2 linked regions of the Pelodiscus sinensis genome follow. The protein of the gene in region 1 interacts with the protein of each later gene in a pairwise test. Links are inferred from orthologs where the notes say so. Each region holds a gene or a part of one and is shown on either strand. Other genes may lie near its edges.

Region 1 (7,670 bases):
CATGTGGGGCAGAGGGGTGCTGGCTCTCTGGCTGGGTGGGGGAAGGGGGCCGTGTAGCCCTGGGCTCCTGCCCTGGTTTCTGCCTGCCGCCTGCATGGAGGAGGCTGGAGGAGTCTGGAAAGGGGGTGGGGGCAGGAGGGCCCGCAGGGACCCTATTCGGAGGCAGCCGTGTGCTGGGTTCCCACAGCCCTGGGCCCGTCTGGGCTGGCTCTGGCTGGTCCCTGGCTGAGCGCTGGCGGGACGCACCCTGGACAGAAGCGGGAGCCGAGTCTGGCCGTGGCCCGGGCCCAGCAAAGAGCCTTTGTGGAGCTGTCGGCTCCTGGCCGGGAAGCGGATGGATGAGCTGTCCCAGGAAGGGCATAGCTGAGCCTGCCTCTGGCTCTCCATAGTGAGGCCCCAGGGCGCAGGGCCCCAGGCAGCGGGGGGGGGGGGGGCAGAGCAGGGGCTCTGCTATTTCCAGCTGGGGTGGGGGGAGGAGGCTGAAGAGGAACTGGAGCTGGGCCGGGGGCCGAGGGGCCGAGGGGCGATGAGGCGCCGGGACCTGGACCAGGCGATGGGGGGGGGGACCAGAGCTCTCGGCTCACTCGGGGAGGGAGAGGGGCTCGTGGCATTGGGGGCCGACAGGGCGACTCGAGGGTTCTCCCATGTGGGGCAGAGGGGGGTGGCCCGGGGACTAGTGAGGGGCCTGGCATTCTCAGCAGGGGTCTGCCCCCCCACTCTCTGGCCGGCAGGGGGCAGAGCCAGGTGGCCGCAGGAGGGGCCAGAGGGGCTCAGTGGCTGTGGCTGGTGAGGGTGGGGGCAGATCCCAGCCCTGGGCCCTGGACCCACTCAGGCTGCATCACTCAGGAAGGGGTGGGAGCAGAGGTAGGGAGTGGGCGAGCAGGGATGAGACAAGGCAGAGAGCAGAGGTGGGAGGAGGCGGGAAGAAGGGGGAGCAGGGGGGGAGCAGGAGTGGAGGGAGGCGGGAGCAGGGGCGGGAAGAGGGGGAAGCAGGGGTGGGAAGAGGGGGGAGCAGAGGTGGGAGGAGGCGGGAAGAGGGGGGAGCAGGGGTGGGAGGAGGCGGGAAGAGGGGGGAGCAGGGGGGAGCAGGAGTGGGGGGAGGCGGGAGCAGGGGCGGGAAGAGGCAGGAGTAGGGGCGGGAAGAGGGGGGAGCAGGGGGGAGCAGGAGTGGGGGGAGGCGGGAGCAGGGGCGGGAAGAGGCAGGAGTAGGGGCGGGAAGAGGGGGGAGCAGGGGGGAGCAGGAGTGGGGGGAGGCGGGAGTAGGGGCGGGAAGAGGGGGAAGCACGGGTGGGAGGAGGCGGGAAGAGGGGGGAGCAGGGGAGGAGCAGGAGTGGGGGGAGGCGGGAGTAGGGGCGGGAAGAGGGGGAAGCAGGGGTGGGAGGAGGTGGGGAGAGGGGGGAGCAGGGGCCAGGCGTGGTGTTGAGGGGGGTGGGGCCAGTGTCCCATCCCCCTCTCACCAGTCGCCCCGGTGGTAGATGTCCAGGCGTGAAACGGGAGGGCGGTTTGTGCCCGTCCGTGGCGCGAAGCCGGTCTCTGGCCCAAGCCGGAGCTGGCCGCGTGCCTGGGGGCCGGGAAGAGGAGGCTGCTGACCAGGCACGTGGCCCCAGCCACGGGGATCAGCGACCGGCGGGAGCCAGGCCGGCCGGGGAGGGCTCTGCGGCTCTGCACGGGGCTCTCGCCCAGGCCTGCCTGGTGGGTCTGTCCCACTGCTCAGGGTCTGGCTGCCATGTTTGGGGCTGGGAAGGAATTGAACCCCGGTCAGATTGGCGGAGGGAGGTGACTCTGCACGCTGGCCCCGCCTCCAGCCCCAGCCCCGCAGCTCCCATTGGCCGGGAGTGCAGCCACTGGGAGCGGCGCTTGCGGGTGTGGGCAGCGTGCAGCGCGACCCCCCCCGGGGACACAGGGACATGCTGGAAGCTTCCGGGCGCGGCGCAGGGCCAGGGCAGGCAGGGACCCTGCGGCTCCAACACCCAGGGGCTGCCTGAGGTAATTGCCGCCCGGCCAGAGCCTGCTCCCTGCACCCCCGGTCCCAGCCTGGTGAAAGTGAGGGAGGGGGTGGGGCCTCTGGAAGGGGGCGGGGCAGGGTCTCTGGGAAGGGGCGGGGCCTCAGGGAAGGGGCGGGGCAGGAGCGTGTGCATTGCCGCCGCTGGGTCCTCGCAGAGCTCACGGGAGGCCAGCTCAGCTCAGCTCCCGGCGCACCATGTCCCTGTCGGCCAGGCACAGGGCGCCGCCGGCTGGCAGTGGGGGAGCCCAGGCCCTGGGCCGCCCGGAGAGCCCCCAACTCCCACCCCCGGGGCCAGGAAGAGCCCACAAGAGACGGGAAGGGGACAAGTGGCCAGAACGTCTCTGGCCCCCTCCCAAATTCGTCCTGACTAAGCCCAGCCCCAGTGTGAGCTGGAAGGGCCTGGTGGCGGGAGCCCCGCCAAGGACCCTCCTTCCGGCGCCTCGGGCACTCGGCGTCCTTGGCTGGTGGCCTGCCGCCTCCCATGCAGCTTTGGTCCTTGTGCTGAGCTGGCACCGAGGGCGCCCAGCGTGCGGCCACCACAATTACCTGCTCTCAGGCCCGGGCACCGCAGGGCCTGCCCCCAGCCCTGCTCCGCCCGCCAGCGCTCCTCCCGGCCTGGGAACAGGGCCCCGGAGCCCTGAGCGCCGCCCGGCTCGCCCTGCTGGGCCCGGCAGCATCCCGGGGAGAACCGGGAGCAGCCGCACGTCTCCGCAGCGTTCCCAGAGCCGCTGGGCTGGCAGCCAAGCCCAGAGCTCCCAGCGACACGGAGCGGGAGTCTCGTAATTAGCTTCTGGCGCGGCTTGGACACTTCAAAGACTCTTTCTAGTCAAGACAAAGCCAAGTTCTGTGCTCCGGTCGCTTTGGCGGGGAGCCGCCGGGACGGCCGCGCAGAGCTGGCACTGGGCAGGGCGGGGGGCAGGCAGGAGCAGGGCCCATCTCACTGGCGCTGGCGTCGCCCCCTGGAAGCAAACACATCCCGAGGACAATCCACACACACTCAGTTTGCACACACGTGCACAGCGTGCACACCCTTTGTACACACTCACACACCCACACACAGCCCTCACATCCCGGACATATGCTCACCCTTCCCATCCCCCTACAAAACCACATCCACCCCTCGCACAGCCACGTGTACCCCCTGCACACACGTCCCTCGCACACTTCTTACCCCGGGGAGCCCTGCTGACGTGCCCTTTGTACATCCGTCCCTTGCACACTCCTTTCCCCGGGGAGCCCTGCTGACGTGCCCTTTGTACACCCGTCCCTCGCACACTCCTTTCCCCGGGGAGCCCTGCTGACGTGCCCTTTGTACACCCGTCCCTTGCACACTCCTTTGCCCGGGGAGCCCTGCTGACGTGCCCTTTGTACATCCGTCCCTTGCACACTCCTTTGCCCGGGGAGCCCTGCTGACGTGCCCTTTGTACACCCGTCCCTTGCACACTCCTTTGCCCGGGGAGCCCTGCTGACGTGCCCTTTGTACACCCGTTCCTTGCACACTCCTTTCCCCACGGAGCCCTGCTGACGTGCCCTTTGTACACCCGTCCCTTGCACACTCCTTTGCCCGGGGAGCCCTGCTGACGTGCCCTTTGTACACCCGTTCCTTGCACACTCCTTTCCCCACGGAGCCCTGCTGACGTGCCCTTTGTACACCCGTCCCTTGCACACTCCTTTGCCCGGGGAGCCCTGCTGACGTGCCCTTTGTACACCCGTCCCTTGCACACTCCTTTGCCCGGGGAGCCCTGCTGACGTGCCCTTTGTACACCCGTTCCTTGCACACTCCTTTCCCCACGGAGCCCTGCTGACGTGCCCTTTGTACACCCGTCCCTTGCACACTCCTTTGCCCGGGGAGCCCTGCTGACATGCCCTTTGTACACCCGTCCCTTGCACACTTCTTTTCCCGGGGAGCCCTGCTGACGTGCCCTTTGTACACCTGTCCCTTGCACACTCCTTTCTCCGCGGAGCCCTGCTGACGTGCCCTTTGCACACACATCCCTTGCACCCTCCTTTGCCCGGGGAGCCCTGCTGACGTGCCCTTTAAACACCCGTCCCATGCACACTCCTTTCACAGGGGAGCCCTACTGACATGCCCTTTGTACACCCGTCCCTTGCACCCTCCTTTGCCCGGGGAGCCCTGCTGACGTGCCCTTGCACACACATCCCTTGTACGTTCCTTTGCCCGGGGAGCGCTGCTGTGTCCCGGGGCCTGGCTGCGGTGCCTGGCACGCCCTGTGCTTACAGGAAAGGCTGCGGTCACTCCTGCCAGTCTCTGGGATGCTGGGAAGGGGCACGGGCAGGCCAGGCTGTCCCCTGCCGCAGCCGCCTGCCAGGAACACGCAGCCACGAAATGAGTTCATGGGAAGCTGGTGCCCGCCCACCAGAGGGGCCGGGGCTCCGGGAGCAGGGGCAGGGGCAGGTCCTTCCGCGTTTGTTCTCCTGGCCCAAAGCAATAGCCGAGGCGTTCTGCCTGCTCTGCCGTCCTTTGTTCCCCTGCCAGGGGCCTGGGCAGTTGGCCTGGTACACGGCGGGCTCTAGGACCTGGCTCACAACGCCACCTCCGCCCGCCCCCGGGCTGGTCCTCTATAAACCCGGCTGCACAGGGAGAGTTCCCAGGCTGGCCCCGGCTCAGGCACAGCCGGGAGGATGAGCCTGAGGATGGAGAGCCAGCGCCTGTCCTCCTACCGGCGCCGCTTCGGCCCGCAGGCTGCTGCCGGCCACCAGCCCCTCCGGGCCTCGCCCCTCATGTGGCTCCTCTCCCCCAGCCCCAGCCCCCGAGTCTCCATGACCAAGAGGAGGAGCTCGAGCCTGAGCATCCAGGCCAGCTCCAGGGTCCCCCCGGGCAAGGCAGACTTCTCCCTGGCCGAGGCGCTCAACTCCGAGTTCAAGGAGACGCGCACCAACGAGAAGGTGGAGATGATGGAGCTGAACGATCGCTTCGCCAGCTACATCGAGAAGGTGCGCTTCCTGGAGCAGCAGAACAAGGTGCTGGCGGCGGAGCTCAACCAGATCCGGGACAAGGAGCCCACCAAGCTGGCCGACATCTACCAGGAGGAGCTGAGGGAGCTGCGCCGGCAGGTGGACCAGCTGTCCAATGCCAAGACCCGGCTGGAGATTGAGCGGGACAACCTGCTGGAGGACACCAACGGCCTCCGGCAGAAGTAAGGAGCCGCCTGGACGGGCCGACGGCTCTGCAGCCGGAGCGGGCGCGGGGAACGGCCCGGTGGTAACCAGGCTTCGCCGCGAGGGCAGCGACTAACGCGGAGTAGCTGCAGTTCTGGGGGGACCCTGGGTGTGGGCATGAAGGCAGGGGGAGCAGGGACTGGATTAGCGGGAAGGCGGGGGTGCAGGGGCCAGGCGTTAAGAGGAAGGGGGGTGCAGGGGCCGGGCGTTAAGAGGAAGGGGGGTGCAGGGGCCCAGTTAGCGGGGAGGCGGGGGTGCAGGGGCCAGGCGTTAAGAGGAAGGGGGGTGCAGGGGCCGGGCGTTAAGAGGAAGGGGGGTGCAGGGGCCGGGCGTTAAGAGGAAGGGGGGTGCAGGGGCCCAGTTAGCGGGGAGGCGGGGGTGCAGGGGCCAGGCGTTAAGAGGAAGGGGGGTGCAGGGGCCGGGCGTTAAGAGGAAGGGGGGTGCAGGGGCCCAGTTAGCGGGGAGGCGGGGGTGCAGGGGCCGGGCGTTAAGAGGAAGGGGGGTGCAGGGGCCGGGCGTTAAGAGGAAGGGGGGTGCAGGGGCCCAGTTAGTGGGGAGGCGGGGGTGCAGGGGCCGGGCGTTAAGAGGAAGGGGGGGTGCAGGGCTGTTTTAGCGGGGAGACAGGGTGCAGGGACCGGTGGTTATTATGCCAGCTGGAGCCCACCTCTGCCATTCACCTGCTGGCCAGTCACGTCCCCGCTCTGCGCCCAGCTGCCCCGGCGGGTGGCTTTGGACGGGCTCTGCGGGTGGGGAGAGCTCAGTGGAGCCAACTCCGCCCCGGTAACCGACCGGCCCACTGGTGAGAGATTACGCTGCCCACACCCGCACGGCCCCGTGTGCCCGCACCAGATGGGCCTGTACACGTTGCCTGGCACACGTCTGTGCCTGCACTAGCAGCTGGATTGCAGGGCGGCAGCTGGCCCAGGCCTCAGGGGGGCACGAGCGTGGCAGCCCCGGGCCTGCGTAGCCTGGCTCACACTCCGACCTCTCGTGCGCCGGTGGTGAGAGACGTGCACCGTTCCTGGCACAACCCACACGGGTCGAGACACCAGAAACGACCTTAACCTGGGAGCCAGATGGCAGAATGTGGGAGGGTGGCCGAAGAGGTGACGGTTCGCCAGCCTCAGACAGAGGTTTGCTTGTGGGGGTTGCTGGCTCTTTCTAGAGGCAGTGTTGTCTAATGGTTAGTGCAATGGAGGGGAGTTTGACTTTCAGGATCCCAGTTGCCGTGCTGGGAGGGGAGAGTGCTCTGACAGCACATGGAAAATCATGACTCCTGAGTTCTGCTTGGAGAGAGGACGGGGTCTAGGTGCAGGCAGCAGGGGCTTGGAGTCGTAACTGCTGGGTCCTCACCACTCACTGTGGGCAAGAGCTGGGCTGGGCAGTAACTCTCGACGGGGCCACGCCAAGATTTTGGTGAGGGATCAAGAGCCGCGCTTGTCTACGGATGGGGTGCGGGATCGGGGTGGAGGCTGGGTGCAGAAGGGAGCTTAGGGTTCAGCCTGGGACAGGGGATTGGGGTGCAGGGTCTGGGAGGAGCTCTGGCCACAGGAGAGGATTCTGGCCTGGGGGAGGGGTGCGAGAGGGGGTTCAGGGTCTGGGAGGGAGTTGGGGTGTGGGAGGGGGTGCGGTGCCAGAGGCAGGCTCTGGTGGGGGGACACTTACTTAAGCAGCCCCTGACCGCTCTGTGCCAAGTGGCTCTCTGTGCGGGGGGGGCTTCACACAGTGCCTCTGCCCCCAGCAAAATCTCTCAGCTCCACTGGCCGATGGAGGGTGAGCGATTTGCTGCGGGCAGGGATCGCACGAAGCCTCCCCCACCACAGCACAGAAGCCACAGGGAGCAGCCAGTCACTTTGAGCAGCGCTGCTACCTGCCCGGGGGGGGGGGGGGGGCGATTACAAGGGCTGTCGGCCTGGATCCAGCCATGGGCTTTATCTTGCCCACCCTCGGGCAAGAGGCTATTTGCTGCGCTGGAGGGGTAATTGCAGAGTCCTAGCGCTGCAGGGAGCTACAGACACGCTCGTTTTCGTTGCACTGGGGAAGGGCTCACGATTGTTGCTGCTGGCGAGACCTCGGTGGGAGGTGCCCCGTGCAGTTCTGTTCGTCAGAGAGCTCTGATTGGTCGAAGCGGAGCTGTCCGGGGAGGGACGGTGGGGACGCATCGCTGGGTTCGGGCGCAGTAGTTTGGGAATGGCCGAAACAGCCCATTGCTGCATTTCCACTTTGGCGGGGAGCGCCTGGTGCTCTCCAGGTTCCACAACAGCTTCTGTAACAGGTTAAGACATAAAAAGGACAGAACTGAAACAAACCGGACCAAGCGCCCTCGGCACGTGTCACGTTACTGGGGCGAGAGACATTTTTGCCCTTTCTTGCCCCGATCCAGGATGAGAAACAAGGTGGGTCTGTTCCGACCTCTCCCAGGCGGGGCACCCAGCACCCCCACCCGGCGCTCACCGTCAGGGGCGCACGAGCCTTGGTGGGACTC
Region 2 (8,554 bases), on another chromosome or scaffold:
ATTTGATAGTACTCCACGGGGAACTGTAAATCACATCATTCTTACCACTTGGAAGCCTCTTCTACTGTCTTGTGTCCTGTAGCAGCCAAAGCTTTATTCCTAAGAAAAATAAAGTGGAATCACAATGAGAAAGAATAGACGCAGCAAGATAAATGATAAATTCTCCCTTGAGGTCTGGAGACTTTTCTTTAATACACTGCAGAAGCATGCGTCATATAGGCCCACATTATTATTAAAGATGCGGCCAAACAAAATCCCAAGTGTAAGCACTATCGAAGCAAATCAGAACCTGAGATCCAAACACTCTTATATTTAGAATCTGGATCCACATTTTCCCAAAGGATTTATTGTTTGGATTCTGCCTATGGGCGAGACAAATTTGAGCTACAAATTCAGGGAATTTGGTTCAGGTCATGTCTAATACGTAATTACTGTTCTATGGAACCAAATTATGCCAAATTCAGTTTTGAGAGCAGTATGTACCTATACATACACATCTTTGAGACCGAGAGTGGAGTTTCTTGGAGTGGTGGAGATGGGGAGAAGTCCAGTAGAGGAAGAGGAAGCTGGACATTTCAACTTGGACACATTTCTAAAACTCACTATTACTCTTCTGTTTCTTTTGCAATACCCAAGAGACAATTTTTGATGCACATTGAACAATATGTTCTGCCTGCTGGGGCCTTGAACTTAAATTTGTACATTTAATTCCCTTCTGTTCAAGTTCTTATACGGCATCCATCTTTGCAGTATCTGTGCACCTTCTGGCAGTGCATTAAGCAACATGTATTTGTCTCATGTGCTTCTTTCTGGCTTCCTCTCGCCAGGGAGCAAAGTGTATGTGGACTTGTAAATACATAATGACACGCTTTTCTTACTTAGGACAGGCCATGTCTTTTTATTACTGAAGGCTCAACATGGCCAAAATACAACCCTTAATCTTTCCCTCTTGCCCTCCCCACTGCTTACGTTCTTGAGCACTGAGGACACCACCACAATTCTTCCTGTCACTCAGACCTATAAACTGGGGGTTAGGTTTGACTCAGACCTCTCCTTATATCCTATGTGCAAATTTTGCAGATTCTTTCTGCAAAACCTCTCTATTGTATGGCCTTTCTTGTCCCTCCTCATGGCTAAAATTCTCACTCAAGCGCTCATCATAGTGTACCTTGATTACTGCAACATCTAGGCATGATGGTTGCAATCATACCCCTTTCGTATCAATGCAGGATGCTGCTGGTTAAGACTATTTCCCTAGCTGGTTACTTTGCACATGTCAGTTCTCTCTCTGCCTTCTTCCACTGGCTTCCCTTTCTCCACAGCATCACACACAAGCAGCTTGTTTTCACTTCCAAGGCCCTTCACAATCCATCCCTTCTCTAACTATTATCTCCCATACACTAGTAATAGGTCACTTCCTGCCTTCTCTTTGCCAATGCCAACCTCCATCCACCCACAGATTACATTTTCAAAAGAGTTTTTGTGCTTTCTCCCATGAAACCCCTGAATCTTGGCAAGAGCTCCTGGCCAACAACAACAAAGCCAAGTCATTGATCCTCCTTTATTTACTTCCTTAAAACTACCCTTTGCCATTAGGCCTATAAATAAACTTGGCAATAGCTAGGCAGCTGGGGAGCAGAGACCTCTGCCTATCATACCAGTCATCATTGCTCCATTATTTCCTTGTGTCAGTCTGTATCTACCTGTTGCCTCAACTCGTTTTTGGACTGTAAGCTTTTCAAGGCAGTGACTACGTTTTCATTTGTGTTTGTATCGTGGCTTGCATAGCGGTATCCTAGCCTACGACTGGGGTTCTTATGCACTTCTTCCAAACAAATAACAGACAATAAGGCAATGTAATGCAAAAATGGATCCTAGGTCTACAAAGATCTCTCAAACAGAAAGCAGAAGAGTTCATATATATATATATATATATATATATATATATTGAAAATACTGTTTTATAAGTAAAACAAACTACCAGATCACTGTCTGGAAAAGCTAATAACAATTAGTACTGTGCAAGCCAAGAGTTGGGGGTTAGTGTGTTGATGAGATTCTATGTGATTCCCATTTACACTAAGGTACCTTTAAACTGCTCCGATGCAACTGGGGCTTAGTGTTTAAAAAGAGACTCTGGCTCTACAGCTCTAAACCATGCAAGATCGGGCTATCCTACGATTATTTCCCTCACAAGCTGGTTTTGGCCAGGCCAGGAAAGTTAGTCATGGCTGAAATCAGGAACTGCAAACTTGCGCTAAAATGTCTAAACTCAGAAAGTTGTTCAGTTCAAATTTTAAGCAAAAATCCCGGTGACTTTTTAAATTTTATCCAGACCTGCTCCGTGCTCTGTTACCTTTACTTTAAAAAAAACAGGCATACATCCACCAGTAGCAGCAACATGTTTTAAAGACGATTTGAAGACTTTACAACACAGCGCTCAATTCTGAAAAGATGGCCCCTCATTGGCATTTAATTTTTAACATGATCTTAAACTAAGATAAATACTTTATGGGTTTAAAAAAAGTAAAAATGACAATCACGTTGAATAGGTTTAGATGCTATTTATAAACAGAAAAACTATGCCTTGTGAAAAGTAAACCCTGTCTCCAAAATCCTACATACGGTAAGATGTCTTTGCTATGTCGTAGAATCCAGTATAAGCTATAAGGTATCTTTAAACTTACCTGCATTACAGCAAAAGTGATTAATGAAAAATATGACCTGTTGTAGGTAATACTGTGGGAGATTACTGTTCATGTCAAGTGTTTAACACGTTTTACAATCTCTCAACCTGAAAAGTGGATAGTTATTAGATCTTAGATATAAAAATGGATGCACAATAGGTTCTTTTTAGGTTTAGATCAACACCCCAAAAATGCTATAAAAGAGGCATAGACTAGGAGATCTTATCTATATACAGAAACATCCCTGTCAAGCAGATGCCTGTTTTCTCTGTTAAAAATGCAAGCTGTGCTCAAATTTTTATGAGAAAATTATTTTAATATCTTCAGGTAACTTAATGCTACTCACGCTGTATGTGCAGGGAATCCCATAGATAAGAGGGATTCTAGTACAGCACAGCTGCTTCTCTTTTTGACTTTGTTCAAGACCTTCGAATATAGTTGTGTTTCAGCCACTGCCATCTCTTCCACTCCTGTGAATGTAAGTTCAGTACAGGCAGAAATTAGTAGAGAGAGAGAGAGAAAGAGAGAGAGAGACAGAGAGAGAGAGAGAGGCAGCTAAGATAAAAAACCTCAAACCCCTTGTGATCTTTTTGAGAAACGCTGATATCCTGTTTGCACAGCATGTTAGTCTTTGCATTTTTATTTTAGGGTGGTTGAAAAGCAAGAAAAATATGCAGTCTTCCTATGCCTGCCATAGGTTGTAGTAAAATCGGACTAACCCAGTACATGTCCACAGCACAACAGAGTGCACAGTCAGTGCACATTGCTACTATCAGGGCACTGAATCTCTTCCTTTCAGATCACCATTTTAAATGCACCCCAAAGCAGTAACGAGTCAGTGAGTGTGAACTGGTGTCAGGCATAGGTTGTTCTGTGGTGTACGTGAAATCAATTGGTGGTCTGAGCCAGGTTCTTAGCAGACAGATTTCTGCCTCACAAAGCTAGCACCACAGCTAGGTCCCTTCTCGGCTTCCCCATCATAGAAGCCAAGAATGAAATGAGCATGGAGGAGGAAATATAATTTCTCCTTTAAGGTACCCCCCCCCCCCCCAAGCCAGGTTTGAAGCACATAGATCAGTGGTTTTCAAACTTTTTTTCTTGTGACCCAGTTGAAGAAAATTGCTGATGCTTGGGACCCAACATAATTATCTCTTTTGACTAGAGTGCGGGCTCTGGGAAGGGGCCAGGAATGAGGAGCCTGGGTTATAGGAGGGGGCTCCAGGTTGGGGTGGGGCTCAGGGTGGGGGCAAGGGGTTGATGCTCATGGTTGGACATGGGCTTACTTCCAGTGGCTCGTGGTCAGCAGCACAGTGGGGCTGCTAGTGCAAGCTTCCTGCCTCTTCGGGCACTGTGGACCATGCTGTGCCCCAGAAGTGGCCAGAAGCTGGTCTGGCTCCTAGGCAGAGGCATAAAAGCAGCTCTGCACACTGCTCTTTGTCCATAGGTACAGGCACCCCCAACCAGTTCCCATTGGCCAGGAATTGGTCAGGGTAGGGACAGCACATGGAGTTCTATGTCCTCCCTCCTCTCAGGAGCCAGATCTGCTCCTGGCTATTTAAATAATTGCGGCTTCATTTAAATTTAAATGGCCGCCCCGCTCTGCCGATCAGCTGTTTGTCGGCAGATCGGGGCAGTCTGGATGCGCCGCGGTCGACAAAAAAGCCTTCTTTCATGAGGCTTCTTTGTTGACCGCGCATCCAGACTGCCCCGATCTGCCGACAAACAGCTGATCGGCAGAGCGGGGCGGCCATTTAAATTTAAATGAAGCCGCGATTATTTAAATCGCGGCTTCATTTCCCTCTGCCGATCTGTCTAATCTACATGCCTCCGTCGATGGAGGCATGTAGTCTAGACACACCCTTAAAGATGCCTCCACATCTCACCCTGGAGTGGAAACTTGAACTTAAGTCAGGTCCTCGGGGCTGAGAATCAGGGAATTGTGACTTGCTCCCTAACAGCCTTCCCTCAGGCATAGTGGGGAATCAAACCTAGGTTTTCCAAGGCTGAGCTCAGGGCAGCTGCGGAGCAAATGAACAATTTCTCTCAGTACCCCAGGAAAAAAATGGGGGAAATGGAAATATCAGTCATTTCCAGGCATAGATAAGCCAATTCTGATTTCACTTCTGCCTCTAACTGAACCCAAACTCAACATTGTGCCTGGCGGATGCATTTGGCAAAAACCACACAAAATTCACACAGAGCTATGCAACTAGGTGAAGGGCCTGGTTTGCCAGACTAACTAGCTTTGAGGGGCTCATTCGCCAGAGCCCAGAATTCTGGCGCATGCTTTTCTCCAGCCACTTTATTTAGGAAAAATGGAACAGGTAAGCACACCTATGACTCCATGTTTGGAGAGTTTCCCTCTCAGACAGGTTCACGAAAAGAACCACAATATTACCTTACCTGATTACACTGATTAAAAAGGTTGCTGATTCTTTGCCTTCCTGCTATGCATAGTCATGTAGGCTACCTGATATCAACGATCAGGTTGAATTACACAGACTACAGTAATAATGTCGTTTGCTACAGTGGTTGAGCTGGCAGTTCTGGGTGGTTTGATGAAAATATTTCCTGAGTGGACTGGTTGAACAACAGCTAGATTTCCATCTGGCTTATTACTATAATGAAAAGAGAACATATTTTTGTTTTTAACCATGGCTTCTCAAGAAGAGGTGAGTAACAACCTAGGACAGAGGAAATAACAATCTCTATTATTCTGTAACTGTATGTCATGCTTCTTAATACTGTTTATTTCCAGAACATGGAACAATGAAGGTATTCTTTATGTTCAGAAACCATTTGCAGTAAGATGCTTTTTCCTTATTTCTGCACTAAAACAGCAGTTATATAATATCTCTTGAAATGTTTACTCACCAGGAATGTATGCTATATCTGATAGAATGAGAGAAAGGTTTTATTTGGGTAAGTAATGCTTGCTGGATGGTGAAAAGATATTCTGTTTCTTAAAAATGCTGTCAAACAAGAACTATGCTTTGTCTAAGGTAAACATTTCCTGGGCCTGATATTTTAGATTAATAGCATACTAGCTCCTCAGACTTTAATACAATTACTCCTGATTACATCAGTGTGAGTGCAGAATCAGACCCACTGTATCATTTGATTGTTAGAGCAGATGCCAAAGTTTTCTCTATCCTATCCCTTCATGTCCCTACATTTTAAAATGTAAGGCTTATTTACCCAGAACTATATTTTAGCATTTTATTTTCAGTTTGTGATAGGCATACAAGATGCAAAAATTCTTCAGCATAAGCTAACTGGGAAGTCAGATCAGAACAGGCTTTGCACAGTTCATAACTTGTACTTCCTTTTACTTAACAGTAGCAATTAAAAAGCATCCTGTAGAAAAGAAAATGCTTTGACGTTTAAAGAAGGAACTTGTCAGAATTTCTTGATGTGGTGAATGAATTACTCTAAATAACTGTGGTTATAGGCAGACCTGAGCAACATTTTAGTTTCAGTAAATTCCTGGTTAATGTTTGCTAATTAGGGATCAATTTGTGCAATTTGCTGAGTGCCCTGACTCTCACTGAAGTCAATGGGAATTGCATGAGCTTCTCAGTAATGCACTGAAGCTGCTCAGCATTTTTCAGGATGAAGCCATTTTTAAGCAAACAGAGAAAAAGCCTGAAAGCTGTCCATGGATTTGCTTTGTATCAGCTGTTCATTCCAAAAATGTGCTAAAAGCAGAGCCCCTCAACAAAAAACAAAATAGAATAAAATCATCACCAGTAGAAAGGCATTGGAGTGGTATGGTCCAAAAGAATAGTTGGTTTTAAAACTGACTTCTGTTCTTTGTGGAGCCAGGTACTGGAGACAAATCCCAATACTGCAAATCTTGAAATCACCTCTGTTACAGAAGACAAATTGCCAGTACCTGAAGTTAATTTTTTCTACAAAAGATTTCTCAGCATACAACAAGCAAAAGTAGATCCCAGTGCAAGTGAACACGGTAGGGATTTTGCCTTTTTTTGTTTTGGTTTGGTTTTTTTGTTTCTTTGTAATGTGTACATTTCCCTTGCAAAACTATTCTTACACAAACACTGTGGGTAATTTTTTTCATTACTGAGAAAAGAAGCACTTATTTTTTCACTAGCTTCATCAGGGTACGAATGGGTAAGGACTTTTTTTGCCTGGGCGGATATGTTTCCATGATATTTTTGCAAAGTTTCATTATTGATACAGCTTCAACCAGGTAGTAGATGATTTGTTTCTTACTTAAGATATGACACAATTTTGAATGTTTGACCTGAAACCTTCCAAATCTGGAAATCCATATCATTAGAAACAGGCAATATCGATCAGGGATAGCACAATAGGCAGGTTGGTTATATTCTGTAGCCTGACCTTGTTCCCATTGAAACAAGGGACAAAACACACGGTAGTTTCAATGAGAACAGAATCAGACCCAAGGTCAGATAACGTGATATTAATTTATACAGACTGTTTAACTACTATAGCTCTGCAAAATATTAATCATGACACCTGAAGCCAGACAAAATTTAGCTGATTTCACATTTTGTTTGTCTCAGGGTACATCTACACTGCACGCTTATGTCAAAATAAGCTGTTGTGGAATAGGTGTTATTCCCTGTAGAATGAGGTTTACAGATTTTGGAATAAGCCATCTGTCATTACGAAATTATTTCAAAATAACAGAATGGCTGTGTAGATGCTCGCATTATGATTTCAAATTAACGCTAGTTATTTCGAAATAACAGTGCAGTGTAGACGCACCCTAAGAGACCCACTCAATTTCCACTGTTTGCAATTTTACATGAAACTGGGTGAAACTCAGAAGTTTTGTCTGAGCTTCAAGTTTTTGCAAATCCAAAATTCAAAGGTAAGTTCAGGGATAGAGTGGATGAATCAAAACTGAAGACCTCCTAGATATGCAAATGGATGAGTTTCACACTCAATTTTCTCTTAATTTGGCGTTGATATATCGAACCAGAATAATTTTTTTACAGAAACCATTCATTATTTTCTGTGCAACCCATTGTCTTTCTTTTTGATCCACTAATGTGGGTTCCTGTTCTTTAATCTATTTCAGAGGACTGCCTCTTCCATTGATTTTCTGCGTGACTTTGCCCAGCTCAATTAGGCCCAACAATCACCTCTAATTTTGGCCTTCAGTTTTCTATAACCATATTTCCAATATTATCGTTCCAATTAGCCTTGCTGCCAAAGCAAAATTCTAGAGCTTTCTTCTTGCCTTGGACTTGTGCTTTCTTCTGCCACCTCTTATATACATGGACCTGTCCTGCCGACATCAAAGGGAGTTGTCGACAACCCAGGTATGCCTCCTGGGATGAGGCATACCTGGGTTGTCGACAACTCCCTTTGATGTCGGCAGGGGAGCGTCCAGACTATCACGCTGAGCCGACAAACAGCTGATCAGCTGTTTGTCGGCTCACCACGGCAGCCATGTAAATTTAAATGAAGCGGCGATTATTTAAATCACCGCTTCATTTTACTCTGTCGGGTAGCCTAATCTACATGCCTCTGTCGCCAGAGGCATGTAGTCTAGACGTACCCTATAATCTCTTACAAAACACAGGCCAATTTTGTCCTTCTCTTGGTTCTGCCCTGCCACTGTTTCAATCTTTAGCATCTCATATTCACTTCTAGTATTTCACTCTACATCTTTATTCTTCAAGTGTTATGGGCTGCAGTATGCTGCTGCTAGATTTACTTCTTCACTGTGACAAGTGGAGCCATAACCGATCCTTCCTTTTCACTGGAGTTCAGTTGTCCTGAATACAGCACACAATGTAGCATCTAGCCAGAGATGACAATAACAGCGAGCACCAGAAATACTGAGTTGATAGAGGAGAGATTCTAAAGAC

The links. The genes of interacting proteins can lie anywhere in the genome.
Region 2: the proteins of GFAP (region 1) and UBASH3A interact in binary tests that used the Homo sapiens proteins (3 or more experiments, as listed by UniProt). The link is inferred for Pelodiscus sinensis from reciprocal best matches to the Homo sapiens genes GFAP and UBASH3A.

Annotation. Positions count from the first base shown.
Region 1 is NC_134739.1:201,368-209,037, reverse strand, and holds the start of GFAP (glial fibrillary acidic protein), read left to right. Parts: upstream 1-4,596; 5' UTR 4,597-4,648; coding exon 4,649-5,163; intron 5,164-7,670.
Region 2 is NC_134711.1:190,493,421-190,501,974, reverse strand, and holds the start of UBASH3A (ubiquitin-associated and SH3 domain-containing protein A), read right to left. Parts: upstream 3,211-8,554; 5' UTR 3,147-3,210; coding exon 3,034-3,146; intron 100-3,033; coding exon 46-99; intron 1-45. Other genes in the region: TMPRSS3 (transmembrane protease serine 3), read left to right, coding at 5,342-5,359, 6,513-6,657. UniProt on the Homo sapiens protein: Interferes with CBL-mediated down-regulation and degradation of receptor-type tyrosine kinases. Promotes accumulation of activated target receptors, such as T-cell receptors, EGFR and PDGFRB, on the cell surface.